3 linked regions of the Cricetulus griseus genome follow. The protein of the gene in region 1 interacts with the protein of each later gene in a biochemical or structural test. Links are inferred from orthologs where the notes say so. Each region holds a gene or a part of one and is shown in the gene's direction. Other genes may lie near its edges. The genes, in order: Pick1, Grm7 and Prkn.

What was found.
Region 2: the proteins of Pick1 (region 1) and Grm7 form a complex in vitro, tested with the Homo sapiens proteins (2 studies listed by BioGRID, with this or other methods). The link is inferred for Cricetulus griseus from reciprocal best matches to the Homo sapiens genes PICK1 and GRM7.
Region 3: the proteins of Pick1 (region 1) and Prkn form a complex in vitro, tested with the Homo sapiens proteins (3 studies listed by BioGRID and IntAct, with this or other methods). The link is inferred for Cricetulus griseus from reciprocal best matches to the Homo sapiens genes PICK1 and PRKN.

The regions. Positions count from the first base shown.
Region 1 is NC_048595.1:376,359,023-376,369,482, forward strand, and holds the end of Pick1 (PRKCA-binding protein), read left to right. Parts: intron 1-2,956; coding exon 2,957-3,010; intron 3,011-3,345; coding exon 3,346-3,408; intron 3,409-4,089; coding exon 4,090-4,223; intron 4,224-4,520; coding exon 4,521-4,613; intron 4,614-5,468; coding exon 5,469-5,519; intron 5,520-6,328; coding exon 6,329-6,473; intron 6,474-6,888; coding exon 6,889-7,160; 3' UTR 7,161-7,653; downstream 7,654-10,460. Other genes in the region: Slc16a8 (monocarboxylate transporter 3), read right to left, coding at 9,596-9,924. UniProt on the Homo sapiens protein: Probable adapter protein that bind to and organize the subcellular localization of a variety of membrane proteins containing some PDZ recognition sequence.
Region 2 is NC_048601.1:33,235,619-33,246,196, reverse strand, and holds part of Grm7 (metabotropic glutamate receptor 7), read left to right. Parts: intron 1-6,988; coding exon 6,989-7,235; intron 7,236-10,578. UniProt on the Homo sapiens protein: G-protein coupled receptor activated by glutamate that regulates axon outgrowth through the MAPK-cAMP-PKA signaling pathway during neuronal development.
Region 3 is NC_048595.1:289,989,455-290,000,460, reverse strand, and holds the start of Prkn (E3 ubiquitin-protein ligase parkin), read left to right. Parts: upstream 1-4,017; 5' UTR 4,018-4,165; coding exon 4,166-4,172; intron 4,173-9,136; exon of another isoform or gene 9,137-11,006. Other genes in the region: Pacrg (parkin coregulated gene protein), read right to left, coding at 3,411-3,566. UniProt on the Homo sapiens protein: Functions within a multiprotein E3 ubiquitin ligase complex, catalyzing the covalent attachment of ubiquitin moieties onto substrate proteins. Substrates include SYT11 and VDAC1.

The DNA.
Region 1 (10,460 bases):
ATTTTCAGCCCCGTGGTGCCTATAAATCCTTGTTACTGTAGTCACCATGCATTGAGATGAAATTAGAACTGGTTGTTGTTTCCCCCGAACCATGCAATTTCCCTATCTGGAAATAGGATTTCTAAAATTGAAGCTGTCATGATGTCCCATGACCCAGCTAAAAACAACTATGCCTGCGGGCCCCATGCTCATGCTTCAGAGAGCCGGGACCTAGGCTGTGGGCTACCACAGCCTCCTGAAGACCTCTAAGGTGTCTACCTTCCCCCCATTCTCCCACTCAGGGCCCTTCACACAGCCAGCTTTCCTGTCCAGAGAAAAGCTTCTGCCTGTGCTGTGTCCCTCTTCTGCTCAAAAGCCCCTGACTGAGCAATCTCCACACCAAGAAAGCCAGGAGAGCCAGGCTCTGCTCACACAGGCATGGCTCAATGACTCCAGGCGAGTTGCCTACCATTCTGCCCTCAGCTTCCTCTGTAGAATAGGCCAAGTGGTCCCTGCCCATGAGGTACAGGCTAGATAAGGGCCAGGGGGTCATCAGGGGGCTTTCAGTGTTCTGGCTCCCAGCAGGGTGACTCAGTGTGGCTGCAGGTGTTCTCAGGCCTGGTCAGGGCCTAGAGGGCTTCACCCTCTCATGAGAGGTATGTGTATTTCATCCCCGCAAGTGGGGACATACCCAGAGTTGGGAGCCCAAGGAGGCCATGCTCCCTGCACTCCCAAGCCTGTGTCTAACCTTTCCATCCCTCCAGTCAGCTGCCTCCCATGTCCAGACTGTCCTGAGTTGAGGTGGCTGTTGTTCCTTTACCCCCTCCACCATCCTGTTCTGGTCACTGGCTACTGGCTGACTCCTCTGATGAACTTGGAGCCCCAAGGGCAGGACCTGAAATTTGGTTTTACCACAATCACTCCCCAGACCTAATGTGGTATTGTGTGACAAAACTTTTTTTTTTTTTTCTATAAAGGAAAACATTTAATTGGGGGCTGACTTGCAGTTTCAGAGGTTTAGTCCATTGTCGTCATGGTGGGACATGGCAGAGTACAGGAGGACATGGTGCTGGAGAAGGAGCTGAGAGTGCTACATCTTTTTTTGTTTTGTTTTGTTTTTGTTGTTTGTTTTTCGAGACAGGGTTTCTCTGTATAACTTTGGAGTCTGTCCTGGAACTTTGTAGAGCAGGCTGGCCTCGAACTCACAGAGATCCACCTGCCCATGTCCCCTGATTGCTGGGATTAAAGGTGTGCACCACCACTGCCTGGCTTTTTAATTTTTTTTTCTTATTTATAAGTGCCCGTCCTTGGCTTGGCTTGTTTCTAGCCAGCTTTTCTTTTCTTTCTTTCTTTTTTTTTTAAAGAATTTTTTTTATTAGTTCAAATTAGGAACAAGCTTGCTTCACATGTCAATCCCTTCTCCCTTTTCCTCCCCTTCCCCCCAATTTTTTTTTTTTTAATTTAACTTCTTTATTGATTCTTTTGGAGTTTTACATCATGCACTCCAAATCCTGGTTCTCCCCATGTCCTCCCCTCATCCCTACTGTGCCCCCACAAAAGAAAACAAAAGTAAGCAAGCAAGCAAGCAAATAAAAGCAAAGACAAAACAAAACAACAAAAACCCCTCAAAACCAAACCAAAACAACAACAAAGAAAAATCTCTTTGCTTCTCCTTCTTTCCTGCCTTTCCAATACCTCTTCATTTGTATTGGAGGCTTCGGTGTGTCATCCAGTATACCCCTTTATCCTGTCAGCTTTACTGGCTTTGCAATGAGTCACTGGTCTGGTTCAAGGCCTCTGGTTTCTGGTACACCATCCTCACTGGATCTTCCCCAGAACTCCTCTAGGATATCCTCTGGTCATCCTGAGTCATGGAGATCTGGGGGTATCATTCCACAGGACTAGTTCCTTCATGAGCTCCAGTAGATCCTAGATGGGGTAGATGCTAGGGTAGGCCAACCCAAGGCCCGACTGTGGGCCTGGGTGGTGGTAGCCAAGATGCTGACAAAACTTTTATTGGGACGCCACAACACATGTCTGCTCACCCAGATTGGGAGCCCACGGCAGACCAAAGTACAGATATCACCAAGTCCAAGCTGGTGAATCAGTGAGCTTTATTGGGATCATTGACAGGAACAGAAATGACTCAGAGACAGCTACATTACCAGGACTCATCCCAGCATGGGTGACAGCTCACAAAGCTGGGACCCTGGAGCACACTGCACATCCTGCAGGCAACTCAGCAGGTTGGAGAGTGTCCTTCCCAGGTGCCTCAGTTAGTCCAGACCTCTTCCAGGTAGCTCGTCTTGTTTCTGCTTCTCTCAGGCAGCTTGTCTGGTCTCCCTTCCGAAGTCTAGCTCAGTCTGGGAGGATCACTTTGGCAGCCAGGGGTCGAGTGACTCTGCCCAGTTTCAGGGAGAACTATGTACTTAGTCTATACTTGTTTGGCCATTGGCTGTGATCAGCAAATTCTAGTGAGAGACCTTCCTCCAAGCCCTCCTAAATCCCTTCTCCCTGACCCCAGCCCATCCTGTGCACTTGTCAAAGCCAGCCCTGGCCATGATCAAAAGGCTCTCCTCCTCTCTAACTGCTGTGTAGGGAGCCTTTGCTGCTGGCCCAGGATTTGCCTTCTGGGCCTATGGGAAGCTGCCCTTGGGTGCGGCCTAGGGAAAACCCACCCTCATACACTTAAGACTTTGGAAAGAGCTACACTGAAATGGCTGTCAGCTCCTAGATTGCCCCAGCCAGTGGTAGGTGGAAGGAGGCTCCTGACACGGGTCCTGAGCTAGCTCTGCCTGGCTCTAATTCTCTAGGTTTGCAGGGAGTTGAAGAGTAAACCCTGAGGCCCAGGCTTCCTGGTTTTTGGCAGAGGCTAGTCCTCAGGGACTACCCTTCACTCTCTAGCCTAGCCTCTGCTGGGCTGTTGTCCTCCCTGGCTTGCCAGGCTCACAGCCTCTCCTGTTCTTGACCTCCACAGATGGGCTGGTAAAGCGACTGGAGGAGCTGGAACGCACTGCTGAGCTGTACAAAGGTAGGTAGGCTACCTACTGCTGGTCTACCCTAGGGACCCCTGTCCTAGAGAATGGCACTGGGGCAAGGAAGCTACCTAGAAATTTTTGGAAAGAGTAAATGTATCAGACGCCCCTCCAAATTCCTACAGTCCCAGAAAGACTGTCATATATAAACCCAGCTGCTTGTTACATGGAATCCACATAGAGGGCCAACTCAGCCTTCATCCCCAGGCCTTGGGGAAGACCCTGGGACCTAATGACCAGTGAGGACCTCAGGTCCTCACTTAAAGGCTGGGGGCCAATGTGATTCCTAATTTCCGTCTCTGTCTTCTGTCACTTGGGTCTCTTCCCACAGGGATGACGGAACATACCAAGAATCTCTTACGGGCCTTTTATGAGCTGTCGCAGACGCACCGGGGTAATGGCATCCCCAGACATGCCATGTGACCCTGCAAACCCCTGTCCCTCAGGGCTCAGTAACACCGAACAGTGAAGTATGGCTAGATTCCTCTCTGGGGCTCTTTTCATCCCTATGCCAAGGCCAACTCCCAGCTCTGACCTCCAGCCTGACACCGGGTGGCAGTGACCATGGAGCATCTGGTCCAGCTGGCCTTTGGAGGATGCCATGTATCTCTCGATGCTACTTACAGTGCAGGCAGCCTCTCTTCATTTTGGTCTCTTCAGTACCATGGTGGACAGTAAAGACACCAGCCCATTTATTGGCCAGGAAGGGAAACCCAGACAGGAAGTGGATCCTGAGCTTACGGTGGCAGAGCCTGGCATTCCAACCCAGGGGTCTAGAGTCAGCCTGGTCCTCTGCTCTTGCCTAGCATGACCATCTTAGATTTTCACTTAGCCTTTTGTCTGGCCACTTGAGGGAATAAAAACTAGCCCCTTGGGAGCCTAACCCCAGAATAAGGATGCAGCAGCTACTTGGGAGTATGGTCTAGGCCTCTTGAAGTTGTACCTCCTTCGAATGTAGACCCTTTGAGCAGACCTTGGCTTTCTGCTCATCAGGCCCCTGTCCTGCTGCCCAGCAAGCCCCTGGCTTCTCCATTAGGGGGTCAAGAAAGGGCTTTAAGGCAAACTTGTCATGCAGCCTTTGGGGACGTGTTCTCTGTGATTGGGGTACGGGAGCCGCAGCCAGCAGCAAGTGAGGCCTTCGTGAAGTTTGCTGATGCACACCGCAGTATTGAGAAGTTTGGCATTCGGCTACTGAAAACCATCAAACCGGTGGGTCCCTCAGAGTGCAGTATGTCCCACTGGCCAGAACAGGAGGGACAGCTTAGCACAGGAGGGGTTCTGGGCTGGAGTCAGGTGCCAGATGCAGACACCTCTTGGTCACCTCTATGGCTGGCCAGCCATCAGTTACTGTGCCTCCCTGGGTCCCTTTGACCTCAAGACTCTGCTGGGTCACAATGTGCCCTAGGCCTGACATAGTCTTCTAACCTTGACACATGCCCTTTGTCAGATTTCCAAGTCCACTGGAAGGGATGACACATCTGTGCCATTTGTCACCCAACCTTGTAGATGCTGACGGACCTGAACACGTACCTCAATAAAGCCATCCCTGATACGCGTCTCACCATCAAGAAATACCTGGATGTGAAGTTCGAGTACCTGGTGAGTGGCCTACATTGCTTGCCAGCTGGGGTGAGCCCATCCTGGAAGCCAGCCCTGAGACAAGCAGCCATGACATGGCAGGCAGGATGGGGCCAGACCTCTGCTGGGTCAGGAGTGTGGGGTCAAAGGCCTGACTAATCAGAAGCAGCCTAGACCCTGAATTCCCACACCAGGGAGCTTGGAGCTACCTAGAGCCAGGAGAGCTCTCATTCTATATTGTGTCTACTCCTTGGAACTTGTCACCTTTAGCAACAGCTCAGACTAGGTCTGGGATACTTCAAAGGACATTTGGAGTCCTAAATGATAATCCTATTGTCAAAGAAGCCTAGAAGATGATGTGTTAAGTATTTAGGCTTCTTGCTGTGGCACTTCTCAGTGCTTTGACTAGGCCTGTGCACATGTCTTCAAGGAGCTCCCAAGCTCTTTTGTTCCTCCAGCACCACCGACACGATGCCTTTTGGATCTTTCCTATTCTGGAGATAGAACCCCGGGCCTTAAGCATGCTAGGCAAGTGCTGTACCACTGAGCCACACCCTGCAGTCCCCGGAGCATCTCCTTAGACTTGAATTTGGTTGCTTTGGGATTTCTCAAGCCTTCAGGCCATTGCACCTCACAGAGGAGTGCCTCGTCCCTCTGCTGCCCCTTTCCTGGGCCTCTGTTCATGCCTGCTTCTAGGCTTTCCCAGGTGGTCCAGACCTAGGTGGCCTATGTGGCCACTGCTCTCTTGGTGTGTCCAGGTTCCCAGGTGACCTGAGGGCATAGGGAGGCAGGGCAAGAGGGAGCTGGAATTATGAGGATGGGCATCCAGGAAATTTGGCCACTGACTTCTGGCCTCACCCATCCCATCCCATACAGTCCTACTGTCTAAAGGTGAAGGAGATGGACGACGAGGAATACAGCTGCATTGTGAGTACCAAAGGGGCCCAGGCTGGTATCAGGAAGGCTTGGGGTGCCCACACCTCACCTTCAGAAAGCCCTGGGTCTACCAGAGGTATTGGGTGTGTCAGGCATGCTGGGGTCTTAGTTTGGGGCTGTCAGCCCATTTAACCAGCTCCTCTGGATTGGAGTACTAGCTCATTTGCCATGAAGTGACTGACTCCCCGGGCCTGCTCTAGACCAGGTACCCCAAGTTTGTGAGGCTCCTATGGGAAAAAGCTGACTGATTTTACTTCTGAGCTATGCTTTGATTTAAAAAAAATAGTTGGTGTTTTTGTTTTTATATATAAGTGTTTTGCCTGTGTGTGTGTGTGTGTGTGTGTGTGTGTGTGTGTGTGTGGGTGGTTCCATTTTCATGGCTGATGCCTGTGGAGGTCAGAAGAGGGTGTTGGAACTAAAATTACAAACAGTTGTGAGCAATCATGTGGTTGCTGGTAACTGAACCCAGGCCTCTGCAAGAACGAGTACTCTAACCGCTGAGCCACTCTCCAGCCCCTGATTGTTTTTTGTTGTTGTTTTTGTTTCTAATTTGTGATTTGTTTGCAGTCAGGGTCCATCTTTTGGCCAATATTCATTTATTTCATGTGAGCCGTGTTCGTGTTTCTGTGGTTGATTTTTTCTCCCTCCAAAGTTACTGTTTTGAGCTTCTGTCTGTCACTGGCATCTGAAAGCCCATTGTGGTACAGCTGTGAAGTGGGCCAGCCCTGCAGTTTTCCAGCCCCATCTGTCCTGGGAGGCCCAGGTCAGCCCAAGAGAGCTGACAGGCTTGCCTGCCCCAGGCCCTAGGAGAGCCCTTATACCGAGTGAGCACAGGCAACTATGAATACCGCCTGATCCTGCGCTGCCGCCAGGAGGCTCGAGCCCGCTTCTCCCAGATGCGCAAGGATGTGCTGGAGAAGATGGAGCTGCTCGACCAGAAGCATGGTGAGGGGCTCTAGAGGCCTGTGCGCTACCTTAGTTGGTTCTTTCTTGCCACTTAGCCCCCAGGGTGGGTGCTGTTCTCTCCCTAGATCAGAGATGAGGCCTAGAGAGGGTAGTCTCCCAGAGGCCTCAGGACCAAGCCCTGGTAGGAGTCCACCCAGAGCCTGGCTGGGTTGGGGCCAAGGCTTGGGTCAGTGATCTACTCACTCAGGCAGCCTTCTCTGTTTCCTGAGCTAGGAGTTTAGAGGACTAGGTGGCCAACTAGGCAGTGCCAGGAAGCCTTTGGCTGTGCCCCTTTGCACCCTTCCTAAGGCCTGGGGCCCGGAAGTGCCCCCCAGTGGGAAGGAAGGCCAGCTCCAGGTCTTCCCTGTGAGGAGGCCGCCATAGCCACTGGGCCTGTCTCTCACCTCCTGCCCAGTCCAGGACATCGTCTTCCAGCTGCAGCGCTTCGTGTCTACCATGTCCAAGTACTACAATGACTGTTACGCGGTGCTTCGGGATGCCGACGTCTTTCCCATTGAGGTGGACCTGGCACACACCACTCTAGCCTATGGCCCTAACCAGGGTGGCTTCACTGATGGAGAGGATGAGGACGAGGATGAGGAGGATGGGGCAGCTAGGGAAGTGTCCAAGGATGCACGTGGGGCCACTGGGCCCATGGACAAGGGCGGAAGCTGGTGTGACTCCTGAGTGCCCCCTCAAGTGGACCTGGGGGGCAGGGCAGCGGGAGGACCGCGTCGGGAACGGGGCGGGGCCACTGTAGGACAGTGAAGGCGTGTAGTGGCGCATAAAGGCCTGCTGGCTCGGGGCGCCTGCCTCCCTGCTCCTCTGTCCTCGCACAGTGAACCCAGGCTGCAGCCTGGGACCTGGACTCTGGCCCCCGTCCTTCATTCCCACCTCCCAGCTGGAGGGAGAGCTGGGCCTTGGACAGAAAAGAGGAGGGGCTGGAGCAGGCAGAGTGCAGGACCTGTCCTGTGAGTACCTCGGTGGTGCCAAGCCTGCAGGGAATGGGAGCCGGGTGGACATCCGAGGCTGGGGCCAGTGTACCAGGCCGGCCCCCCCGAGTCCACATGCACACCTTGGCAGCCTATATTTATTTGTTTCTGGCTTAGCCTCAAGGGCTGGATGCTGGGCCTGTATTGAATAAACAGAAACCCAGACAGAATGGATGGGCTCCTTGCAATGGCTCAGACCCTCCTCTGCAACCAGATCTCAGCTGCCTCCTGGGTCATGAGGGAGGGTGTGGGACACAAGGCTTAGGCAGTTTTCTCTGTGTCCATCATTCATCTCTTGAAGCACCTACAGGAGCAGCTTTCTTGTTCCCATAGTGTCTGGGGTTGAGAGGCTCAGGACCATACATGAGAACAATGGAGCTGAGCTTGAGTCTGCAGGTCCCAAAGCCTTGACTGTCACCTGCTCCCACAACTTCCAGCATCATTGAGCACTCTCCCTTCAACCCTTTCTGTATACCTGGTGATGAAGTAAACCTTTGTTTGGGCAAGGGGTCAGGACAGACACTGGTCAAGTGATAAAAGGCTGGCGGGACTACTCCAGGAGTACCTGTTCAGTTCAGGCCCAGGGGCACAAGGGAGATGCTGCCGCTCTTAGGCAGTAGTCTGGCTGGCTGCTTTGCCTGGCTGGGTGTGGCACACACCTGCAACACTTTTATACTGAAATTCCCATTAGGACAAGGATATGGCCATCTTGAGAGCAGAAGGGGAAGGAATGTGCAGAGTTGGCAGGGTCCAAAGTGGAAGAGCAGCTTTGCTTGGTAGCTTTGAGCTCTGCAGTCCTGCAGAGACCCAGGTGGGACTGGAGGGAGATAGCCTATCACCATCCATCCCATGGGGTCCAGCACTGCATCTTTGAAGAGACATCCTGTTAGTGATCACGGGCACAAATCAAAGCCAACAGCTTGAAGCTGGGCATGGCGGCCCATGTCTTTAATCCTAGCGCTTAAGAGGTAGAGACAGGTGGATCTCTGAGTTTGAGGCCAGCCTGGTCTACACAGAGAAACCCTGTCTCAACAAAAAACAAAACAAAAAATTACAGCTTGGGCCCCAACAGTGGCCTCTGTACCCTGGGCTGATTCCTACCCTCCTCATGTTTCCCTGTGTGAAGTGTGGGTAAATTCTACCTTGTTGGATTGTTACGAGAATCAGTGAGATTCATAAAGGGCATAGAATAGTCTTGACCAAGGTAGCACTGTAGGTACATGCTTAGATAAGATGCCAACCCTTCTGGAGTCTGGGAGCCACAGATAATGGAAGTCAACAGAGCATTGCCTGGATTCCCCAAACCTTGGACGGAAATCATGAGGCCCAGCTGGGAACAGTAGTTGGGAAGGGGCCATTTGTGGGAGGGATTCTGCTGAGGTCTAGCTAGAAGAGTTGGGAGTGAGACAGGAAGGTCCTCACACGGGTCCAAGTGCAAGTGTTGTGAGTGATAGTGGACATCTGTAATCCTGGCACTTGGGTAGCTGAGGCAGAATCTGAGAGTGGTCATGGCCCACAAGTCCCTGTGGTAGAGAGCAGGTGCCAGGGCCACTGATGAACGGGCTGCCCACAAAGCCACAACTATGTCCTCCAGGAGTGACAGTCACTAGAGATCCTCTAGAGGGGTGGCCATTCCAGGCAGTGAGGGGACACCCACACCTCGAGAGTCCCTGAGGTTTTTTCTGCTGACCACCTAGCTCCCATGCTCTCTGGAATTGACTCTGAAGTCTACACATGAAGACGACCCAAGATAGGTCTCCACTCCTGACCCTGACCTTGGGCTCTGCTTCTCGTTCAGATGGCGGCCAGGTGTGCTTCAGCATACAGCATCCCCAACAGCCTCTAGGTCTCTAGTGGGGTTCCCCCAACCATTCCTACTGAACTCCAATGGCTCTTCTTACCCCTCCCCTAGTTCAGGTGGCCCAAGCCCTGGCAGAGAGAGGTACAGGAGCAGAATTTGTCTTTCGGTAGACCTTTATCTTGTGCACTTGTCGGTCCACAACAGCTTCACTGGGAACAAACAGCCTGGCAGATGGGGTACCCCAGGAACCACCCCAGGCTGCCTCCCCATGTACCGGGTCCTCAGAGGGGAAGCTGTGTTCTCATGCCCTCTGGCCACCTGCCTGATGTCTACACAGACTCGTGACCCAGCCCAGGCACTTCCTCCACCTCTGGTTCTGGTTCTGGCCCTGGGGATCCCACCCGGGGGCTCAGCACCTCCAAAGCCTCAAGACTGCCAGGCTCCTCAGTGCTGGCAGGCATTGGCTCAGAGTCTCTCTCGGCCTCCACATCCTCGGTGTCACTGGCTCCTCCCTCAGCAGGTAGACCTGATGGGGTGTCCTCAGAGCAGTGCAGGCAACAGTAGGTGGCAAGTGCCATGAAGACTCCTGCCAAGGCCACCTCAGAGCCAGCAAGGTAGAAGATGATCTCATAGTTCTTCAGGGCATCCACCAGGCGGCCTGGGGAGGGGGGAGGTGTCACAACCTGTCAGGGTCTCCTCTGTACTAATTGGATGGGACTTAACTGGTGACACACATATGCCCTATCTTTATTCCCGATTACAAATGCAAAACTCCACATGGATCCTTTCTTGTGGTGTCCCAAATGTCTTCCCCTCCCCTCCCCTCAATCTAACACTTCTGAGGAGGTAATATCGTATTATATTATGCCTTATAGTATACAAGGTTTCCCCCTCCACATCAATGCGAGTCCGCAAGTGACTTGGCCTGCTTGTGGGTGTTAGGGTGGCAGTGGGACTGGACCCTGCTTAGCTCTGGCTAGGACTAAGGGCTTCCCAACTCTTTGTACATAATCTGGCCTATAGGATTTGGCTCAGCATCCTCATCAGGAGCTACAAGCCATCCAAACAGAGCTGGTGAGGCGCCTCAACACAGGCTGGGGGTGTAGGGCTCTGCCTGTGCTCCGGAAGAGGCTTCATATCCTTTCATTGTCCAGGCTCCTTTCCTGGGCACAGTATCTCTGTATGGACGGAAAT
Region 2 (10,578 bases), on another chromosome or scaffold:
TTGCTTCTGAATGGTATGACCACTTTAACTTGACATCAGGGGTATGGTTATTAAATACTGAAAAAAAACCTATATTTACTGCCAACAACTTTTATTTCAATTTAGCCCCATGAATACTTCAAATATATGCTAGGTAATAGCACACACTCTTCACAGGGACACCATCAAGCAGCATTTTTATTCCTATTACACAAGCTCTCCACTGGGAGAAGCATTTGAAGCTTCTCCAGCCACCTGAAGACTCCCATGAAGCTCCTTCATCTCACTTCTCAGCCAACACCTGGGAGCAGACAAAATTGCACAAAATAGTCAATGACAAATGAAATTGGGATTTGAGTAAATTTCCAAACAAACCAGAAGTAAATTTAATACAGTCCTCTCAAAACAAGCTGTTATTCATTGGATTCTCTATACAAGAGTCATTTCGAGCTGTATTAAGTATTTATCCCTAGTACACGAATGGACTTTGGGAGCCCATTCCACATAGAAGGCTACTCTCTCAGCCTAGACACACGGGGGAGGGTCTAGGCCCTGCTCCAAATGATATGACAGAATTTGACGGTCCCCCATTGAAGGCCTCACCCTCCCTGGGGAGCAGAAAGGAGATGGGATTGGGGGTTGGCTGGGGATAGGGGAGGAGGGGAGGGAGAGGGAACGGGATTAACATGAAAACAGGCTTGTTTCTAATTTAAACCTTTAAAAAAGGAAAAATGAATGAAAAAGAGCAGGACAGAAAGCAGGTTGTTTGACGTATTAGCCAATAAATGAGACTATGATACTAGCATTCTGATCAAGTGCTCATTGCCTGCTTGGCACTATTCTCTATCTTTTCCATGGCTGTATCATTTGAGCCTGGCAACAGTCTATGACACAGCAATCACAATCTTCACAATAGTAAGGAGCAGACTGATACACACTCATAATGGAAAATAGGGACTAGGAATGACAGGAACAATGCTGGATGCCAAAGAAGTTTATCACACTGAATTCTTGGTTCAAAGGCTGAAGTTTTCCATTAATCAAAGTTCATAGAGTTCATACTCAGTGAAGGGCATTTTGTTGATTACCTAGTCAGCCCTGCCTAAAAATGTCATATGTTTTTCTTAAGGAATTACCATTGGTGGCAATAGTGCACCTTGTAAACCATGGGATGAATGGAAAGGTTGCATGATGGATAGGGTAACCATTGACATCGTAAGTCTCTCTCTCTCTGTCTCTCTGTACCCTCTCTCTCTCTTTCTCTCTCTCTCTCTCTCTCATACACACACACATACACACACACACACACACACACACACACACACACACACACACACACGCATGCATTAGAGGGGTGAGAGTTAAAACACATTACAAAATGCACAGATACTGAATTTATCTTAGGAAATACCTGATAAATGCATAAAGCATCCAATCAATGTGATGCTTTATCTTATTTAAAAAAGAAATGGATACCAGGAGGTGGGCATTTGGATTTGGCATTGAGGCTGGGGAAGACAGTAGCTATAGATGTCTGAAACAGTGTGCACTTCGTATGTAGTCCCCTACAACTTGACTCATCTAGGTGGAGCTTTGTAATGAGCTTTCTCATCAGACTTTCTTGGACCACCAGCCTGTAAACAATGACACAGAGACTTATCAGTTATGAAAGCCTGGCCTTTTCCCAACTAGTTCTTCTAACTTAAATTAACCTGCTTTTATTAATTTGCTTCTACCACATGGCTCACTTACCTCTTCTTTGTACTGCATGTCTGACTTGTTTCGCGTCCTGCTGGTTCTCTGCCTTTCCTCTTCCCAGAGTTCCCTCTGTGAAGAAGTTTACCTATACTCTCCTGCCTAGCTATTGACCGTTCAGCTTTCTATTACACCCATGCCAGCAATACATCTTCACACAGTATACCAATATCCCACAATAGGACTTATATGCCCGACAGGTGTTTCCTGTGGAGTAAACCCCGAATGTGCAAAAATCATGTAAAGCATAAGGTGTTTCTAATGTCTCCATTGCTCTGTGATAAATTTACATTTTTCTTTCTCCTCTTTCAGTGTTTTGATCATTAGCTGGGAAATTTCTTTCCTTTTTTATTGAACATTTCTTCCATTTATATAATGTATTTTTCTCAAATTAATCTTTGTTTCTCCCCTATAATTCCTGCTTCCTGCCTATACAGCAGCATTTCTTTTCTATTTTGTGTGTTATTTTTTAAGCTCTCAGAGCCCATTTAGTATGGCTGTAGCTATAGATAGGGTCATCTACTGGAGCATGAGTAGGCTGTCAGAGGCTACATCTCTGAAGAAAACTCACTTTCTCCCATCAGCCATCATTTGCCAATAGCTCCTCAGTTAGGGATGAGATGTCATGACCATCTGCCCTCATCCATGCTGGAATCTTATTTAGCTTGTGCAGATAATGTGCAAGAAGTCATAGCGCCAGGGCATTCACATATGCAAAGTGCCTTGAATTTGCATGATCCTACCAAATTTTAGGGAACACTGACTGCACTATTTTAGATAGAACAAGGAGATTACTACTTGAATAATACCAAAAAAAAAAAAGGCTGTTGACTATGGATATGGGGAAAGTTGTATGTATAAGGGACACCACTGAACATCAGATGTAAGCAAGGCCCCAAAGGCAGGGCAGGAAAGCAGAGGGCATTTCAAGTGGAAGTAAGCAGAGACCAATGCACAGTGACAAAAGGGATATAATGAGGCCTTACATTATGTTGTCATTTAATATTTATTTATACACTCTATGCTTAACTGACAAATAAAATTACACATGTTTTTGTCTACAACAAGATGCTTTGAAAGATCTGAATTATGGAATGGCTAAATACAACTATTAACTTACATTACCTCACAGATATATTTTTTGTGGTAATGAAACTGAAAATGTCCTCTCGTAGTGCTTCGTAAGTACAGAATACACAGCTATTAGCTACAGTCACCATTTCCTAAAGGAATTCTGATTGCTTTGCGTCTGCTATTATAATCCAGCTCCTGATAGCAGAGCATGTATCTGTATACATGTATGCATTCATACTTATATATGTATATCTATGAAACCCAGCACCTGATCCACAGTAGGCACACAGCAGGAGCTCAGTGAAATGCTATTCTTGATGTGACATTGAAAAAGATGCCTCACACCCAGTGGATCAAAAACCATATAATAGTGGATGCATAGCATATACTTAGGATGTGTCTCCTATGTCAGTGGTTTGACATCAGTTAATTACTTCAAAGTCTTTTCTAATGAACTGCTATTAATGAAGATTCACATGTATAAATACATTCCAGTTTGTTTTATAATTCTTGTTGAAAATAGACTCTCCAAATCAGAAATTTGTTTTTCTCCGTGGCTCTTCTCTCTCCTTCTCTAAACCCTGTGTTTCCTCTATTCTCTTAATGTCTTTGAGGCATATTAAGAATATCATAATTCCCAGAGCTGCAAGTCTGTTACCCTTGCAGCTATTCACAGCTTGCTTTGAAACATCCCAAGCTTGTCTTTAACCAAACTGGCTCTAAAACTTTTAACAAAGCAACTGGCAGCTTTCTTGTGTTGTAGAGCTGTTTCTTCCAAACCACAACATTCCCTCCTGGAGGTGGAAAGGAAGTTCTAAGATTCAGGAAGCTACAGGATCTAAAGGGGCACAGGAACCTCAGAAAGTTACAAGATTCTTAAAGGCTGTTCCCAAGGTTATAGAAGGATCAGGCAATTGTTGGTGAAGGGAGTACTCCCTTAGGTGGAGCAACAAGGAGGACAGGAAGCTGGACAGGATCTGGAGTCATCATTCATGCTGTAGTTGGCATTTCAGAGACTTTCCTATAAGTAGTACCAATATACTTTCTAACTTACCAAGGTAAACTTGGGTGGAATACCTTTTCTCTGAACTGTCCTTGGTGCCTTATGTGGATTGAATAAATGTTTTTTCACATTTTCCTGGGGTGGGAGGGTGAAGCTCAATAGCTCATGAGTACAGGAAGTATTTTGTGCCTAGCGAACAGTATTTCAATTCTATGACAATTTTCTTCCTTTCCTGGAGAAACACAAAGCTTTGATTAAAGTGACATTTCAATGTGATCAGTGGGAGATATTAAGCTTCTGTCAAAGACAGATTGAACACTGAAGTTTTCCAAATTCTTAGCATATCAAAGACAAGAAGTCAACTAATAGTGCTATTAGTTCTGGAATAGTGAAGGCATCATATGATATACCCCCACATCTTATCGTACTAATAGAGATAGGCCAGAAGATGCATGGGGTAGACTCAGCTGAGCTTTGCCTGGCATTGAGTTATCTCTAAATCTGTGCATTGTAGTCTCACCTGTTTTCTGCTCCATTTCCATCTGCTTCAGCAGGAATAGCATGGGCCCTTGTAGATATTCAAACCTAAACATCACATATATCCTTAAGTTTAAAATACCTGGAAGTGGCTAAAGAAGAAATGTTTGCATAAGATCCCTTCCACCACAAGTTAATGTGGCAGGAAGTAAGGAGTAGTAGCAGAAATTCCACAGGCTCATTGCTTGCTAGTATCGCAGTGATTTCTCTCCTCATTCATTAGTTTGATCCCCAACCAATGAGATAGGATCTGCTATTATGTTCATTTTAGAGTTGAAAAAAAAGTCAAGATCAAGAGAATCCTTATAACAGTAGGTGTTGTCATGTATGAGTCTTTAAGAAAACTGCTGTAAATAATTTGCACAGACATTGGCTTGCTTTGCTCAGCATTTGTACCTAAGTGGGAATGTAAGTAAAACAACTTCTAACCCTGTAACTGAAGCTGGTTTCTGGAAATTTATTTAGATTAATGATGAATACATAAAGGTGGAAATTCTAAGGCTATCTATGCTCTTCGCAAAGACCTAAGCAACTTTGGACAAGGTGAAGGATATTCTTTTTTTTACTATTCAGAATCTCAGTTAGCCATGGTAGGATTGGACTGAAGGAAGGAGCAGTCCCAGAAGAGGTTGGGCTATGTGTACATGGGCAATTACTCTCTAATGAAAAGGATTAACAATGGTTACTAACTCATTTATTTGGATGAGTTAATTAGCTAGTCATAAGAAAGTGGTATCCTTGAGATTAACAAGGATAGTGCATTATTACATGATAAGCATCTTGTGAACTGATGACTGACATGATATTAAAAGTGTTATAAATTACATTACTAAAAGCAAGTACTAAATGTGACATCAAAATGAAAACTTGAGGCTTAAAAGCAAACCATTCATGCTAAGATGTCCACAACTTGGCTCATTTCCTGAAATTTCATGGGTTTGATCTTTATAGACTTGTATATGTAGAATATGTATAGCCTGAACTTTCTCAACTATGTACCTCAATACTTTCTATTTAACCTTTTTTCTTCAGAGACAAAATCCAGGGTTTTGAACATAATAAGCAAGATGGAAAGGTCTCATGTATTTTTATCTGAAATACCAAAATTTTGGTTAGATATGATGGAAATATTTATATTTTTAAAGATTGGATATGTGATCACTGAGGTATGGGTAAAAAAGAGTTGTAAAGCAAGTGATTCTATCCATCATACATTTATGTAGTATCCTTACACTTGTCTATTAAGTAGAGAATAATGCCTCCAGAAAGAGTCTAACTTCATGGAACCTGTAGTACAGATGGGACAGTCGAAAATCAAGGAATTAAGAATATAATTACAACTTGATATTGAATCTGTACAGGAAACTTTCCTTGGAGAATGTATAAATAAAGAGATAATGGGTGAGAACAATTTCAGGGAAAATGTTTTAAGAAGTAAAGGAGAAAGAGGCCAGGTAGAAGCTAATGAACTTAAATACAAAGAACTTGTAAAAAGCTTCTGTGATTGTATGAACAAAGTCTATGCAAGATCTGAAAGAGAGTCCACAAGGATGAATAGTCAGGAAGGCGGAACTCAGAGAGTTGGGGAATGGTAGGAAATTCATCTGAAAAAGTAGTCAGGTACAGTCCATATAGAATCATAAGGACTCTTAATAGACTCCAGCAAGTAAGTAGGGATTGTGGACTACCACAGGCCAATCCATTGTCAAGTACCTAGGAGTTGCACTGATACATAAGGTAAGGGTTACAAGTTGCCTCATCTAATCTAGCCTTTAGAACACATGCATAAGTCAGACATATGTGATTTCTAAGGAGCGCTAGATCATAGGAGGACACATCATAATCATAGATACACATGATGTTTGTGACTCTCCCCTTACAGACTGCATTAAACCACATGTCCTTAGACTTTTGCCTATTCACTGAGACAATGGCTCTATGAATTGGACAGGAAATGATTTCTTAATATGGTTGAATACACAGCTCAAAGCTATGATGATGAGGGTGTGGTTACCATCCAAACTATAAATAACATAATGGCAGAGGTATTATCTAATTAGCAATTTACCAATGTGAACAGAATCAAAAGTCATAACTAGATGCTGTGCCTTGACTTTTATGCTTTAAAAAACACATATAACCCAAAGTGGCTAGATCACTACTCTGTATGTTTGGCGAAGGTGCACAGTGTTACAAAAATGACACAAAAGAAGAATTTATGAATGGAAGTAATTTTCAAATAATATCTTAGAATCTCTGCATAGAAAATCATATAATAAACATTTTGTTTGGGGATTTAAAATAATAAGAAACTTGTACTCAAGATTACAGATTACTATGATATACTATAATTCATGTTTTCATATTTATCATTATCTCTAAAAGTAATTTAAATCTGATAAAAAGTCTATCCTGAACATCAGGCTAGAAGATCTCTTTATGCATAAGGATTTTCCCAATGTTAACAAACATAGACTTAAATTCTGAAACAGATATATAGCCAAGTTGTCTTCCTTTTTAGCAGAAAGTCATTGGGATTGCTGTTTTTCTCCTAGCCATAGTCATTTGTGACACCACTTTAAGAATTCACGTACCCTCTGCGGTCATTTGTAATAGTGCCTTGTGTGTTGTGTCTCCTAGCTCTACATACAAACTACCACTCTTACAATCTCCATGAACCTAAGTGCGTCAGTGGCGCTGGGAATGCTATACATGCCGAAAGTGTACATCATCATTTTCCACCCTGAACTCAATGTCCAGAAAAGAAAGAGAAGCTTCAAGGCCGTAGTCACAGCAGCCACCATGTCATCAAGGCTGTCACACAAACCCAGTGACAGGCCCAACGGTGAGGCAAAGACAGAACTCTGTGAAAACGTAGACCCAAACAGTAAGTAACTCTCTTCATATTTCCATCCTGTATGAGAAATTTCCAGAAAATATGATGTGTGTTGCTGCTCTCTGGAGGAAGCTTAGCTTGTATATGCTTTGTCCTGATGAATGGTAACTTTTACTCTTCTGGTTTTGATTAATTTCTGCTACCATTTTCTTGGTAGAAAGCTTTTCAGGGTTCTGAAGACACTCTTCATTCTCTTGTCTCTTTGTCCTTTGCTCCAGAAACACCCAGGGGGGATAAACATGTCTGTCAGTGCTCTTTTATCAGGCCTTTTCCACTAGGAGAGTGACTTCCTCTTAGAAGGAATTTCCTTCTGGGAAAACAACTTCCAGTTAGAGAAGTAGCGATACCTAGTAAACTGCAGCCTTAAAAGTAAAATTAAAAATTTGAAGAACTTTAGAAGCATGTTTTCCTTCCACAGAGATGTGAATGTGGAGAAATTATTTCAAAGCAAGTCTGTTAGAAACAGAATCATAAAATATTGGATAAAGCTATTCAACTTTCATTTAAGTATACAGGGCCATAGACGGCCATGCTAAAGGGAACATACTTTTGGAGGAAGTATCTCCTAAGACACTGAAGAAGGAAGTCATTTTGTGAAGAACAAAAACTGACAGCTGTGACTCGGAAGTGTTAGCTTCAATACACTGTGTCTTATACCCAACAGCCAGGTGGACAGTGTTGCTTATAGTCATAATTTTATTCATACCGATAAGTTTTCCTGTATAGTTCAATTTCTGTAGCTATTTACAATAGACTTCTACCAAATTTCCATATCATGGAAACTTTATCCATTCTCTATTCTAATAACAACTTTAATCATATATTTCTGTCCATATATGCACAAGCACACAAATTTAACAAGATTTTCCTCCAAGTCAGTGAGCAGTAAAGTTCAAAGTGTCTTCTCTATATTTGTATTTTGAAAATTAACAAATATGAACTTACAAATCCAGACAACTAATCCTACAGTGCTTAAGAATTAATAACTTTTGACTATAGCTAACTTTCTTTTGTTCATATCAATCCTTGTTGAGTATTTGAATAATTTCTAAAATGTAAACACTATCATTAATACTGACACTGCATCAGGCAGTTTGGAAATATGTACCATGTGGAAATTTTATATGGAAGAGACTGCATTTATTCTGCCAAGCAATAATAGGGATGATGCTCTTATGCTCGATTTACTGATGAAGCCTCACTGCAAGGAGCTTCTGTAAAGTAGCCAAAGTCATGGACCTACTTAGCATCCAAGGCTTTATTAACCCAGGTCTTACTCCTAAATCCATGCTTGTTCCTCTTTACTACTGTGTGTCCTGAAACATAACTACCAGGACAACTTCCCAATGCATAAATTACCCTTTTGGCTCTCTTACTTGGTAATATAGCTTTAATACTACTACTACTACTACTACTATGTTTCATAATGGTGGTGGGTAGTGGCACTAGTGATCGTGCTCGTAGTAGTGTGGTGGTGGTGAAGGTGTTTCCAGGGGAACTGTCTTTGCTAAAACTTGTAATGTGAAATATGTCATTGCTTATTGTGTTGTCTACAGGCAGTAATAAACTACATTTAGAGAAGGGTGTTCAGGTAGAGGCCTTATCATACTGACTTTAAAATTCAGATATTGTAGTGGCAATTGGAATCATTGCAATAATCTCACTGAGAAATCATTGGACATCCTTAAAATTTTTTTGACTGTGTGGTTGTTCTGGTATCTAGAGTCATAACAAATACTCCAGAAAAAGAAAGAAAGAAAGATGAAGAGAATAGTACAATTATATACAGTGTTTCCCTCTCAACCAGTCTGAAAGATGTTTGAAATTCTTCTAGCTATTCCAAAATTATGTATCCACTACCCTAAAACACCATAAAAGATAAGTAGAAATTGTCTGAACCACATGAAGAGATTCATGTATCTCTAAACATTGGGGTTTCTGATGGCCCAGCTCTTGCAGAGCATTGAAAGGTCACATTTCTGTGAAGTCATCCAACAGCACTGTCAGCAGGCAACAGTGTGTTCTGAATGTGTGTTGTCTAATACAGCCAGCATAAACCCCAGTGTCTCTCAAGCAACTGAAACTGCAGCTTTTCAAATGAGAGAATGAACCTTGCTTTTATTTGACTCTGTTTTAAATAAGTAGCCAGCCGTATCTATAAGTACTGCACTGGACATCACAGATCTGGAAATGTGGGTATAATAAAGGCAAGTGTTTAATCTTGAGATGTCCAGTCAGAGTCCATAGTGGAGACTGACTCTGTCATATTAGCATTAGTGCTTATCTGAAAGAAACATAGCTTAAAGGAATGAAATAATTTGAGATGAAAATTACACTACATCATTTGAAATGTTCCCAAACAAGCTTGTAATGTGGAAAATGAGATATCAAGTCCAATTGTATTTGAATATGTCACCTGAAATCACAAATATGCATAATTCACATTAAGACTAATAGTGAAATTTAAGTAAATGGAAATAGACAAGAATGTTCTGGTGCTATGAAATGTCATAATGTCATATTATATTGAAAACCAAGAATGACTCAAACCATCTCCAAAATCTAAATTTTGTTAATGGAGGAGACACAGGAAATATTTGCTTAATTTAAGATATCTGGTAAAAATTATAAATAATATATGCACTTGAAAATATGCATCTCTCCAATGGGAAATTCTTTTTTAAGGTGGTGGGAGATATGTAAGAAGACAGGCCAGTTCAAAGTATGAACTTCAAAGTAATCAATGGACCAGAAATGCTCTCCAGCTCATCTTTGCTATGAACACTTAGTGTGAATGTATATAAGTCCTTGGTGTTTTCATCTTGAACGGCTCCGCTCCATCACTGCAGCTTGCCATCTGGCGCATGACCGCTTCCACTCATCCACCTCCACACTGCACACATCTACACAAAAATGAGCTTGCTTCTTGGCCTAAAATGTGCAGTCATTAAAACTGCCCTCTGCACTGCAATACTTTTCAAGGATTGAAATTTTCCTCTCAAATTGCTCCTTCAGTTGAAATTCTGATTGCCTTAAAGAAAAACATCTTTTTGTTGGGCTAAAGAGACAAACTTGTCAAAGTGTTAATGCTGGCTCTGCACTGTGTATATATTTCATGTTCAAGCTCTGGCCAGTGTTTGTCAGGATCTATGGTCATATTGAAAACTAGCAAGCCTAGAGGACATTAGGATGAAGCTCAAAGACTTTTAGTTATACAGAGGTGATTTCTTCCATGGAGGTTCAGAAAAGCCAAATCTCATTTGGACACTTAATGCCCAAGATGCTGATCTTCAGAATTTCTTCAAATTCTGGTTCTCTCACCTACCTCCTGAAT
Region 3 (11,006 bases), about 86 Mb from region 1:
GCTACAATGGTATTACAGACATGAGAGGGAGGGCAGAACTTTGTTATGGAAAGCTTAATCTACATGTATTGATAATTGACTGGTAGAGAGCAGTTTTGGAGACATTATGTACCTGGGAGGTGTATGGGTGATGAGGCCCCATCAGCTAATTGCTCCTGGGTTCCACCATCATTAATACTTTCACTGGATGGAATGAGTATTTGCAACCCTAGCTATGGATGCTTAATTGTTTGTATTGTGACTAGGTGGACTTATCTTTGTACTTCTCTTCACTCTAATGTACCATCTTTAGCACTGACAGTCTATGACTTGTAATTATCCTCAGTGTCCCATCTCCCTTCTGCTACAATAATAATTGCAAGTTTGAGACAGCCAAATTGCTACCAGTTAGAACCCAATACTTCCCCATCCTGCTTCCAACTAGCTGCGGCTTTAAGACTCAACTTTAGCCATGGACTTAAGCAGAAGTGATAGGAGCTGCTTCTGGGACATACATCATGAAACTTCTTGTTCTTCTCCGCTGGCTGTGTTGTTTTTGCTGGTTACTGAAATTTTTTCCAACATGTCTAATATATATATATATATACATATATATATATATATATATGTATATATATATATTAAAGGTTGTATTCTTTTGGAATTATATGGTTTTCTTAGCCTATTTTCTGATGGGCCTATAATCAGGGCCTACAAATAACATCATCACAGCCTTGGATCCATATTCTAACTTGCAGTTGAGTATATGTTTGAGACAGGGTCTCCATATGTACTGTAGACTTCCTTTTAACTTCATTTGTAGCCTAGGCTGTCCTCAAGGGTTGATCCTCCTTCCTTTGCCTCCTGAGAATGAGGTTATAGTGTGCTTACTATGCCTGACCTAACTTGATTTTTTTTCCTTTTAGAATTTTGTACTAGGATCCAGCACACAGATGATACATTACATGGTTTTCCTTCATTTCTTCAGAATAGTGATTAGATAAAATTTCGCATGCCAATAGCAATTTGGCACTGTATGTGTGTGTGTGTTTTTAATTATTTTTTATTAGTTCAAATTAGAAACAAGCCTACTTTACCTGTCAATCCCTTCTTCCTCTCCCTCCCCTCCTTCCCCACCCTATCCACCCTCTGCTCCCCATGGAGGGTGAGGCCCTCCATGGGAATCCCAAGAGTATGTTATATCATCCTGGGCAGGGCCTAGGCCCTTCCCCATGTGCCTAGGCTGAGAGAGCATCCCTCCACATGGAATGGACTTCCAAAGTCCTTTCTTATGCCAGGGATAAATACTGATCTACTACCAGAGGCCCCATAGAGTGTGAGGTCTCCTCATTGACATCTATGTTCGGGGGTCTGGATCAGTCCTGTGCTGGCCTCCCAGACATCAGCCTGGGTCCATGCACTCCCCGCTTGTTCAGGTCAGCTGATTCTGTAGGTTTCACCAGCCCGGTCTTGACCTCTTTGGTCTTCACTCCTCCCTCTCTGCAACTGAGTTCCAGAATTCAGTTCAGTGTTTAGTTGTGGGTGTCTGCCTCTGCTTCCATCAGCCACTGGATGAAGGCTCTCAGCAGAGGTCAGGGTGGAGGGGGAACCCCTAACTTGCTTTTTTATAAGGAGTGTAAGTGTATAAATGGTCCACTTTTAGCTACATAAGCAAATAATACTGGCTAAGTAGTTTTTGGTCATCGGCTCCATCATCATACTCTAAGAAGGAAAGTAAACTACAGATATTCAAATCTTGTATGTTCTTTCAACCTTTAATGGGAAACATTCTATCAATATGAATTTGGATATTATTGTTTGATTGAAGGTGTTTGAGATTGCTTATTTTTATTGGGACCAAAACAGAAGTTCAAGCAACCAAAAATAAAACAAACCAAAAAAACAACCCCCCCCCAACATATACTGCTTAAGACCACTTGTCATTGGGATTTTAAGAAACTATAATCACAAATAATAAATGTTTACAGACATCATCACTTCATAAATAATTTCCATAATTCTTAGGGCATATTCTGTGTGTTTTTCTTGGAAGAAAATTGAAATACTACTTATTGAACTACAGTGTTGCAGCAGGAATGCAAGGTGAGTGAAACACCTGAGAAGTGGTTTTGGGTTGGCTTTTGGAACATGTGGCTGAAATTAAAAGATGAAGTTGGCATATATGTCTGAATGGAAGTAGACCTTCAGAGGGAGAGATGTATATACCTTAGCTTTATAATGTGACAAAATCTACATCACAGAACTCAAAAGAGGTGAAATAAAAGTATTGAATATAGAAACAACCTTTCCTGTTTCCTGTAACTCTGCAGTTTTTTTCAGACTGTTTCAAAGAATTTTAACTACTGTAAATCAACCAACAAACACACACAAAATAAAAATATGATTCTGTTTAACAACATAGGAATCCAAGCTGCAAATCTACAGGTAATCTACTTTATTTGTGTCTTCTAAGTATGTGTTTAGAAAAAGGCAGTATTAAGCTTGCAATAAATAAGTAAAAAAATTATGGGACAATGGAGAACACTATTAAGGTAATATATTGAATAATAAGGTCCTTTCAAGTTATAAATTGTACAAATTTGAAAATACTAAATTACACACATTCTTAAGCAGTGCTTACTCAAGAGACAAACTTGGTTTAGCATACCAAATTATAGGCTATTTAATAAGAAGGATTAAAAGCAGTGTTATGCATACAGCTAAACCATTTGTGTGCCTTTAAATATTTTCCCCCATTCGTGTTAGGAATATTTTATTTTTATAACCCAAGTAATAAAAATGAAATAGGGCTTGTATTGGTAGGGACACTTGAAATACAGCTAATATTATTTAAAAAATGTATTTAAATGGCCTATCAGGAACCAGTTTTCACATAAGTAGCTTTTGAACACTACAACAGACTAATACCCCTTTGTCAGATGTTGTTGAATTCTAAGACATTCTAAAATGTTCCAGATGAAACAAGTTACTTTAGATTATTGATGAGTTTGTGTGTTCCAGCTATACACTGCTTCGTGTTAAAATTTCGAAAGCCTATGACTTCTAAGAATTCTCACTCTAGAAGGCCCTTTGCTGACTGGAACCAAGTTAAGTTGCAAGAAGGAAAAGGATTTTTTCCCCCTTCTAGTTAAAAAGCTTAAGTATAATTTGGGCTTAGTGGTGAAAGCACAAGTTCTCATGAAAATGCTTGTAAACTAGCCCTGGACATTACCTGTCCTCAAAGCTATCTAACCATCTGGTCTACCTCTCTGCATATTGGTGGGCACGCTTGGCTTACTGATAGCCATTGCCAGTTCTGGCAAACAGAACCCAGTACCTGGGCTGGGAATCCATCCCGGGGCCTGCCAGGCTCTACAACCTCGTGTCCCCCGACTTGGAGCAAGTGTGTTCAATTGAGGAAGATCACTTACGACTGAGTTTTTCATCATGGCTTTGACTGTGAAGCCCTCAGAAACCAGGGAATGAGGCTGGTGCACCGGGAGCGGCTGTTGTGGCAGCAGTTTGGTCCTCTTCGGCATCTTGTCTGGGCATTTATTTAAGGTCAGGGTCTCTTTTTCTGCCACCATCTTCCCAGGATACGTTTTTGTTCTTATCAAAAGTGTGGTAGACAAACCAGTGGGCTTTACAGATGTGAGCAGGAGGTCAGGGAAAAATGTAAAAAAAGCGAGTTACAGGTTTAAATCCAACCCCTCGTGGTGCCCAGAGCGATCCAGATGTTTGGCAGCTCCAAGGTGAAGGGAGTTTAGGGGAGGGGAGGGGCGGGAAGAGGACTGGGACCCGAGGCTTGAGCCGCTACAAGCTTCCAAAGGTGAGCCTCCTGGTTGCTAAGCGACTCGGCAACACTACTACCCGATAGTCCCGCCCCTTCGTGACGCACATTTCCTGGGTTTGAATCCGGAAAGGGCGAACGGCAGAAGCCCGCAGCCGCCTTAGGAGCTCAGGAGCGGCTGTGGGGGCGGGGAGACTCTTACGCGTTAAAACTACGACTCCCAGCAGGCACCGCGCGGGGGGCAGGCACGCACGCGCACTGAGCCTGCCGGGCGCGCGGGGTGGTGAGCCGGGGATGACTGACTAAACCTGGGAGAAACGCTGGTGGGAGGCTCGGGCGGGTGCCGGTGCCCGCGTAGGCCGTGCTCGCCCCGCAGCCACCACCCACCCGGTGACCATGATAGGTACGTGGGTGCCTGCCAGGTACAACCTCTCTGCGCCGCCCCGCGCCCGTGTGTGGCGCCACGTTGTCACACCCCGCGGGTCCCAGTGGGCTCCTCGGGGGCTCGCCCGAGCCACCTGTCAGTGTGAGGGCGAAGGCGTGTGCTCCTCACTCCGTGGGCCCCGGGGGCCTACCAGGGGCCAGGCCGGGCCGGGCCGGGTCGGGTGTGTCTTATAGCATACGTTGTGTGAGCGTCCAGTCCCCACCTCGCCCTTGCCAAGGTTAGCCCGGTGCTCCCTGAAGATGGCATCCCTGCCGACACCCGGGTGCACCACAGCGCCCCCCGGCGGCCGGGCTCGTCCTGCCCGACCGGCAGCAGCCTGGCGCTCTGCCACCCCTGGGTGATAACCATCCCAGCTCTGATTTCTGTTTCCCTTCTGGTCCCTGTCCTTCACTTTAGGACAGGTTTAGACACTGCAGGACTTGAAAAAGCCCCCGGGAAGCACTGGACTGGTGGAGATAATGGGTTTGCAAGAGATTGCACTTTGCTCCTTGAGTTCTGCCTTACTAAATGTCTCCTCGCAGATCTGAGGCGAAAAGAATAGCCGAGAGTAGATAATAGTACAGATGGAGTCTTTCCACCGAGTGCAGCTGCATGAGTGTGGCTTTGGAAGCGGCCGCTAGGGTTGTTATAAGCACCGTGAAGTAGAAGGTCCTTCTCGAAGATGTCAAACTCCCAGTCACTTGGGGTGTTCCCCCAGAATGAGTTGAAATGCACAGCCGTGTTGGGCGATCATTCCTGTTTGAAGGTTTCCTTTCTGTAGACTCCTGCAATTGGTGTCTTAGTGAGCTTGTTTGTGATAGACGCTCCAGAAGTATCACCCTGAGCACATTTGAAGGGGATCTATCCCAGATGCGCCTAGAAGACAGGTGACAGGTGGCTTTATGAAATTAATGCTTTACGTGATGCAAGCCCCTAAGTCTGCTTTTACTTATGAAAGTAAGGTTAAAGTGTGCAGTCTACCCCTCACTGGGGGAATCATGCCAGGTCACCAACATCCTCATTGAGGCAGAGGTACAAGCTGAAGATGCCCAGCTCTCAACTTTGGTAGGGTAGTGCGTATTTCTGGTGAATGAATTGGAAACTTGTGTGTAGAGAAGCTACGTTTTTATGAATCTTACTGAGCCTGTTAAGTGACGTTTACTTAAAATCTGATTGTAAACACAAACCTGAACCGAGTCCGTGAACCAAGTGGGAGAGATTAGGAAAAAAAAAATTATGGGAGATTTTACAAGAAAGAAATAGCTCATATTTTGAAGACAATTGCACACATGTAGTTTCTTCCAACTTAGTTTACGGATGATTTTGAGAAGCAAATGTCCCATAAAGCTATATAAAGACAGAAAGTTAAGAACTAGAAATAATTATTTTTGTAAAGAATCTAATAAATTATTATTATAGTAGTAACTTTTAAAATGGAACACATTTAGACAGTTTTAGTAAGGTTTATCTGGAACTGTCTTAAGAAGTGTGATATCTGGGCGTCACAACTAAATCTATTACTGACAAAAAACAAGGGAAATTCAAGGTGAATTTTAAAGCTGTTCATTTTCTTTCTCTCACTACTGTTGTTGTAGGGTGAATAAGTGTATATTCCAACACAAGTAATTAAACCCCTGTCCCTCCACCCCAAGAAAAGGAACTTACTTATTAATTAAACTGCATAAAGAATGTTAAAATAAATGAATTATTTAGTTCAATTAGTTTTATTGCCTAGTTCCTTCCAGGAGTCATTTTTCGTTGTGACTAATCTTTGAGCCAGGAAACACAGACAGTCTTTATCCAGAGAAGTCTATTGCAGGTCAAAGGACACATAAATGCCTCTAGGAACTGAACAGTGTCTTATCCTGCTCAGCACGACACAGAGCTGATGCCTTTTATACTTATACTCTCCCACCTTGCTGTATATCCTCCTAGTGCAGGCAATAACCCACTCTTACACTGAAGTCCTTGCTTTCCTTTGAGAAAAACATGGATTGATTTCCTGGCCAAATATGAGAAAGGGGAACAAATACTTCATTACCCATAAAATAATTTCCCTTTTATTGTCTCAAAATAGAGGGTTCCCATTTTGTCATGGAGATGGCATTAAAAGTACTTACATTTCCCACTTGGATATTATGATTTTCATGTTAAATGCCTTGACCCAGACAGACTTAAAACATAATTTAATTGAAGTCGATGAAAAAGTCTGCCATTTCGAGGCATGGAGAAGGGATACACAATAATGAAATGCTTCAGAAAATTTAACTGACAAAAATGTAATTTTGAGCACTTCTTTTACATTTTTTAATCTTTAAAAATGAGCACTTCTTTGTGTTTAAAATTGAATTTTGGTGGTGACAATTGTGAATTGCTCTAAATGTCCTATACATTTAGGCATTTGATAATATCAGCTATTAAAGCACATGGGTTCTCATACAATTAAAGTAGGAAGTTCTTAAATTAAAACCCAGTTTTTGAAATAGAAATGTCACTCAGTGATATATCCTAGGGTTCATAAGACTGTGGGTTCCATTCAAAGGTGTTGCACTTTTAATTGATTAAAGTATTATTTTCTGTATCTTGTTAAAATCTTCTAGAGAATTTAACTGCATATAAAGATCACACTCATTCCTGACCAAAGTCAGATTTATAACATACATTAATTATGAAAGTATCCTCTCTTCTAAATGAGTGTACAGCAATAATACAGCCTTTCAGTGTGCATACTGCACAGGTGTCTTTTGGGGGCCCTGTCCTCTCTGACAGTGTAGAATACATTTTATTTATTATCACTTGCCAGAAAGTGTTTTTTATTGTCTTGTTTATAGATAAAGGGTAGACATTTTGCTTTGAAAATGAGTTTTAGGAAAATTAATTCATTTTATAATGATTTAGTTTTACAAAAGCAGATTCCAGCATTGAGCATGTATATGTGTCTGGTACTGTTAGTAGGTGCCAATGATACAAAAATGGAATAAACAGAAAAAAATGCTTTGTCATTGTAAATATTCTATCTATATTGACTAATGGCCAACATCTGGCTTTGTTTTAAAACTTGTATGCAGGGATTTCTAAGTCTTAGAATTCCTAGTTGTAGTTGGATACACTATGCATTGCTATTTGCCCTGTTGCTTTAATAACATTAGATGAAAGAAACTCTACATCTAAATACTGTTTGTTCTGAGGTGCCCTTGTACCTCTGTGTTACAAAATGAGTTCTACAAAATTTTGTATAGAAGAGTTTATATAATTTTATTCAGTTCTCTTTTGGGTCCAAAGCCTCTGAAAAAACCTTATGTCCTTTACAAATGTTCCTTCTGTTTCTAAAGGTTTTTCTGAAGTCTGCATTTTTTTTTCTTTTTAATCCAAAGCTCTATGGCTTGAAAATGATACAGTGGAAGTACTTGGTACTAAGATATGCAAATCCATCCCTACCTCTAAAGCTTCTTTGAACCCTCACCCCACCCAGCCCCCGAAAAAGGAAAAAGAAAAAGAAAGAAAGGAAGATATTTCAAAATGCTTAATATTCATGAACCAGGTTCAATGCAAAATACTTTCTTCTGTTAGCTTTCAGTTCTTTGATCAATGAGAATTGTTTCTTACCTCCTGTTTCTCTAGCCTTTAATGGTAGCCCAGTGCTTATTCAATGTTTCTGTTTTAATTTGCATTTAATGAGCTCATTTTAAATGTTTCTTTGTAGTAATCTGAATTGTTTCCTTCTTACATTTATAATATTAAAGACTGAGACTTATATGACAGCTAGCTGATTTACATTACAGCCCCCATCATAGCTTATTGACTTCATCTTATAGAGGAGAACTGTGGTTAAAAGGAATGCACTTGACAGTACTATTTCCCCTAGGACTGTATTTCCTGATCACTTAGGATTCTATCAAACTGACCCAGTCTTTTCACTCCCCTCTCATTAAAAAGCATGTTTTTGTTTCTTGAATTAATAGATATTTCAATTGACAGTGATCATTCTAGTATCAATTCTTTGTAAGGACTATGTTAGTTGGTGCTGCACAGGAATATTCCGTGTGTGTGTGTGTGTGTGTGTGTGTGTGTGTGTGTGTGTGTGTGTGTGTGTGTGTGTTCTGTAGGGAAAAACACAGAAACAGGAAACCGTTTATCCCCATGAGTTGAGTTGTGATTTACTTGAGTTGATGGCATGTGCATGTGGTACAGATTTTACCCTGTCCATTATAGAAGCAGAGTGTGGTGTTTATATTCACCCTATCACATGAGAATTGTGTTTCACTGTGTACTCAATTTAGATAGAATCTCTATAATGATACAAGCAGAATAATAGGATGAAAGTCTAATATCAGACAGTACCCACTCTTGTTTATTTAGGAATTGATAAGCTGCCCAATGGGTAGACAAAAGAATTTCTTCTTTTGTTTTGATGCCTCCCCCACCATAATTTTCTAAATTTGTCTGTTTTTTTTTTTTTAAATATGTTGTGGATGGTATCTGCCATATCTTACTACATGAAGACTTTTTGTCATACTTTCATTTTCATCATTTTGATTTCAGAGCAGTCACCAAACAAACCGATTGTCAGTTATGGATTGCTGAAGTTTTACAAAGTATCCATATGCTGGCCTTTATATGCCTATGTTTTATGGTCATTGTCTTAGTGAAGGTTACTATTGCTGTGATAAAACACCATAACCAAAGCAACTTCGAGAGGAAAGGGCTTATTTGGTTTACACTTCCACAGCACTATTTATCCCTGAAGCACATCAGGGCAAGAACCTGGAGGCAAGAGCTTATTCAAAGGCCGTGGAGGGGTGCTGCTAACTGGCTTGCTCTCCATGGTTTGCTCAGCCTGCTTTCTTATAGAACCCAGGATCTCCAGCCCAGGATGGCACCACCTGCAATGGGCTGGGCTCTTCCCTATTGATCTCTAATTAGGAAAATGCCCTACAGGCTTGTCTACAGCCTGATCTTACTGAGGCATTTTCTCTATTGAGGTTCCCTCCTCTCAGATGACTTTAGCTTGTGTTAAGCTAGCACAAAACTAGCCAGCACAAGCAATAAATATATCATAAACTCTGTTTTGTTTAAATGTGGGAGGAACAATTCTGAAATAACTTTTCTGGAAGTCTAATTTTCCCTATTGGATCAAGTCATTGTCATAATTATTTGCATATACATTTATTAGGAGTAATTCTAGCTTCTCAATCAGTTTAAACATTTTATAACCAATAGAGTACACACTATGGAAGTCAGATTATTCAGCGCAGGGGTAATGACACCTTTTGAGGTTGCTGTTGGATGAGGTAATGACTTTTTTGAGAATGATAGGGTGATAACATTAGTGATTCAAGATTGATAACTATGTATGAATTCTTAATTATTAAAGAGATTTATTTAAAAGGTTCAAACACAAGAGCATAGTTGCCATAACTGAAAAGTACATAATAATATTTTATTTCTATGTATGAAATATTGGAAGTGTATACCCAAAGTATTATTTTGGAGCTGTAAGAATTTTTGGAACTCTAGTATTCAACATACAATATTTTGGAACTGTTCAAAAGCAACATGCTATGCAGCATCCCTAAGAATAAGACAAATGGGTCTGGAGAGATGGGCCATTGGCTGTGCATGCTTGCTGTGCATACTTGAAATAAAGTTCAGATCCTAGCTCCCACATAAACATTCAGGCAAGATGCTGTGTGTGCAACCCAGTGCTCTGTGTTGGAGTACCTTGTAGGGAGGAGTATCATGTGCTTGCTGGTTGTTGGCTGAGCTCCAGATTAAGTCAGGTAAGGCAGAGCATGTGGAGCAGGACACTTGATGATGTCTGTGCAGCTGTGCATACACCACACAGATAGGCATACAGAGTAAAACGAGTGCACCATTGTTGTAATGTGTATTGCATTAGTTATACTTTCACTGTTAACTAATGTCAGGAATTTTTTAAGCGGTAATACACAAAAAACCATTTTATGTTGTGATTTTAAATGTAGAGTTTTCAGGAAGAGAAACATTAGAACCACTGTTTCAGTTTCTTTAATCACCAGTTTTTCTTTATGCATTTTGGAGGCATGTCTCAGTTACTCCATTAATTTTTCATTGCTGCTATAACAAATTACCTTGTTTCATAGCTTAACAGAAATTATCCTGTGGTAATTCATGAGATCGTTTATTAGCATGCCCTCCTTTTGTAGGCTCAGGGCCGGGGGCCCCTCCTCTACCTGGAGAAGTACTTGTCCTCAGCGTTCACTCTCCTCTGCAGTCACACTGCTGCTGCTGTGGCTGCCTTCGCCTTCCTCTTCCCCATTCTTTCCCCTTCTCATCTCTCCTTTTTTCTTCCTCTTCTCTCCTCCCACTCCTTACTTCTTTCCTGCTCCTTGTTTGTTTTGAAACATGTTTTGTTTTTTTTTTTTCTATGTAGCCCAGGCTGGTTTTAGTCATGAGATCCACTTGACTCAGCTCTTCTGGAGTTTGTTCAGATGGCAGGTTTACCTTCTTCACAAGGGTCTGATTTCTTTTGTCTTTAGGAGTACTTGTGGTTACATTTAGGGGGCACCTGGATACCTTCTTCTCCAGACCCTTGAGTTAACCTCATTTGTAGTTTCCTTTTGTCACATTTGTAGCATTCACAGGTTTCAGGAGCTGGAATGTAGTCAGTTGGGGAAAGTGTTATTTATCTACCACTGTAGGCAGTAATTATCATTTGAAAGAATGGTTGATGTAGAATGACAGGTAGAACCCATTGAATTGACATAATAATGATAATTGTTGTTGTTTGTTTGTTTTTGTGTGTCATTTTAATGTCATGCAATAATGCAGTAG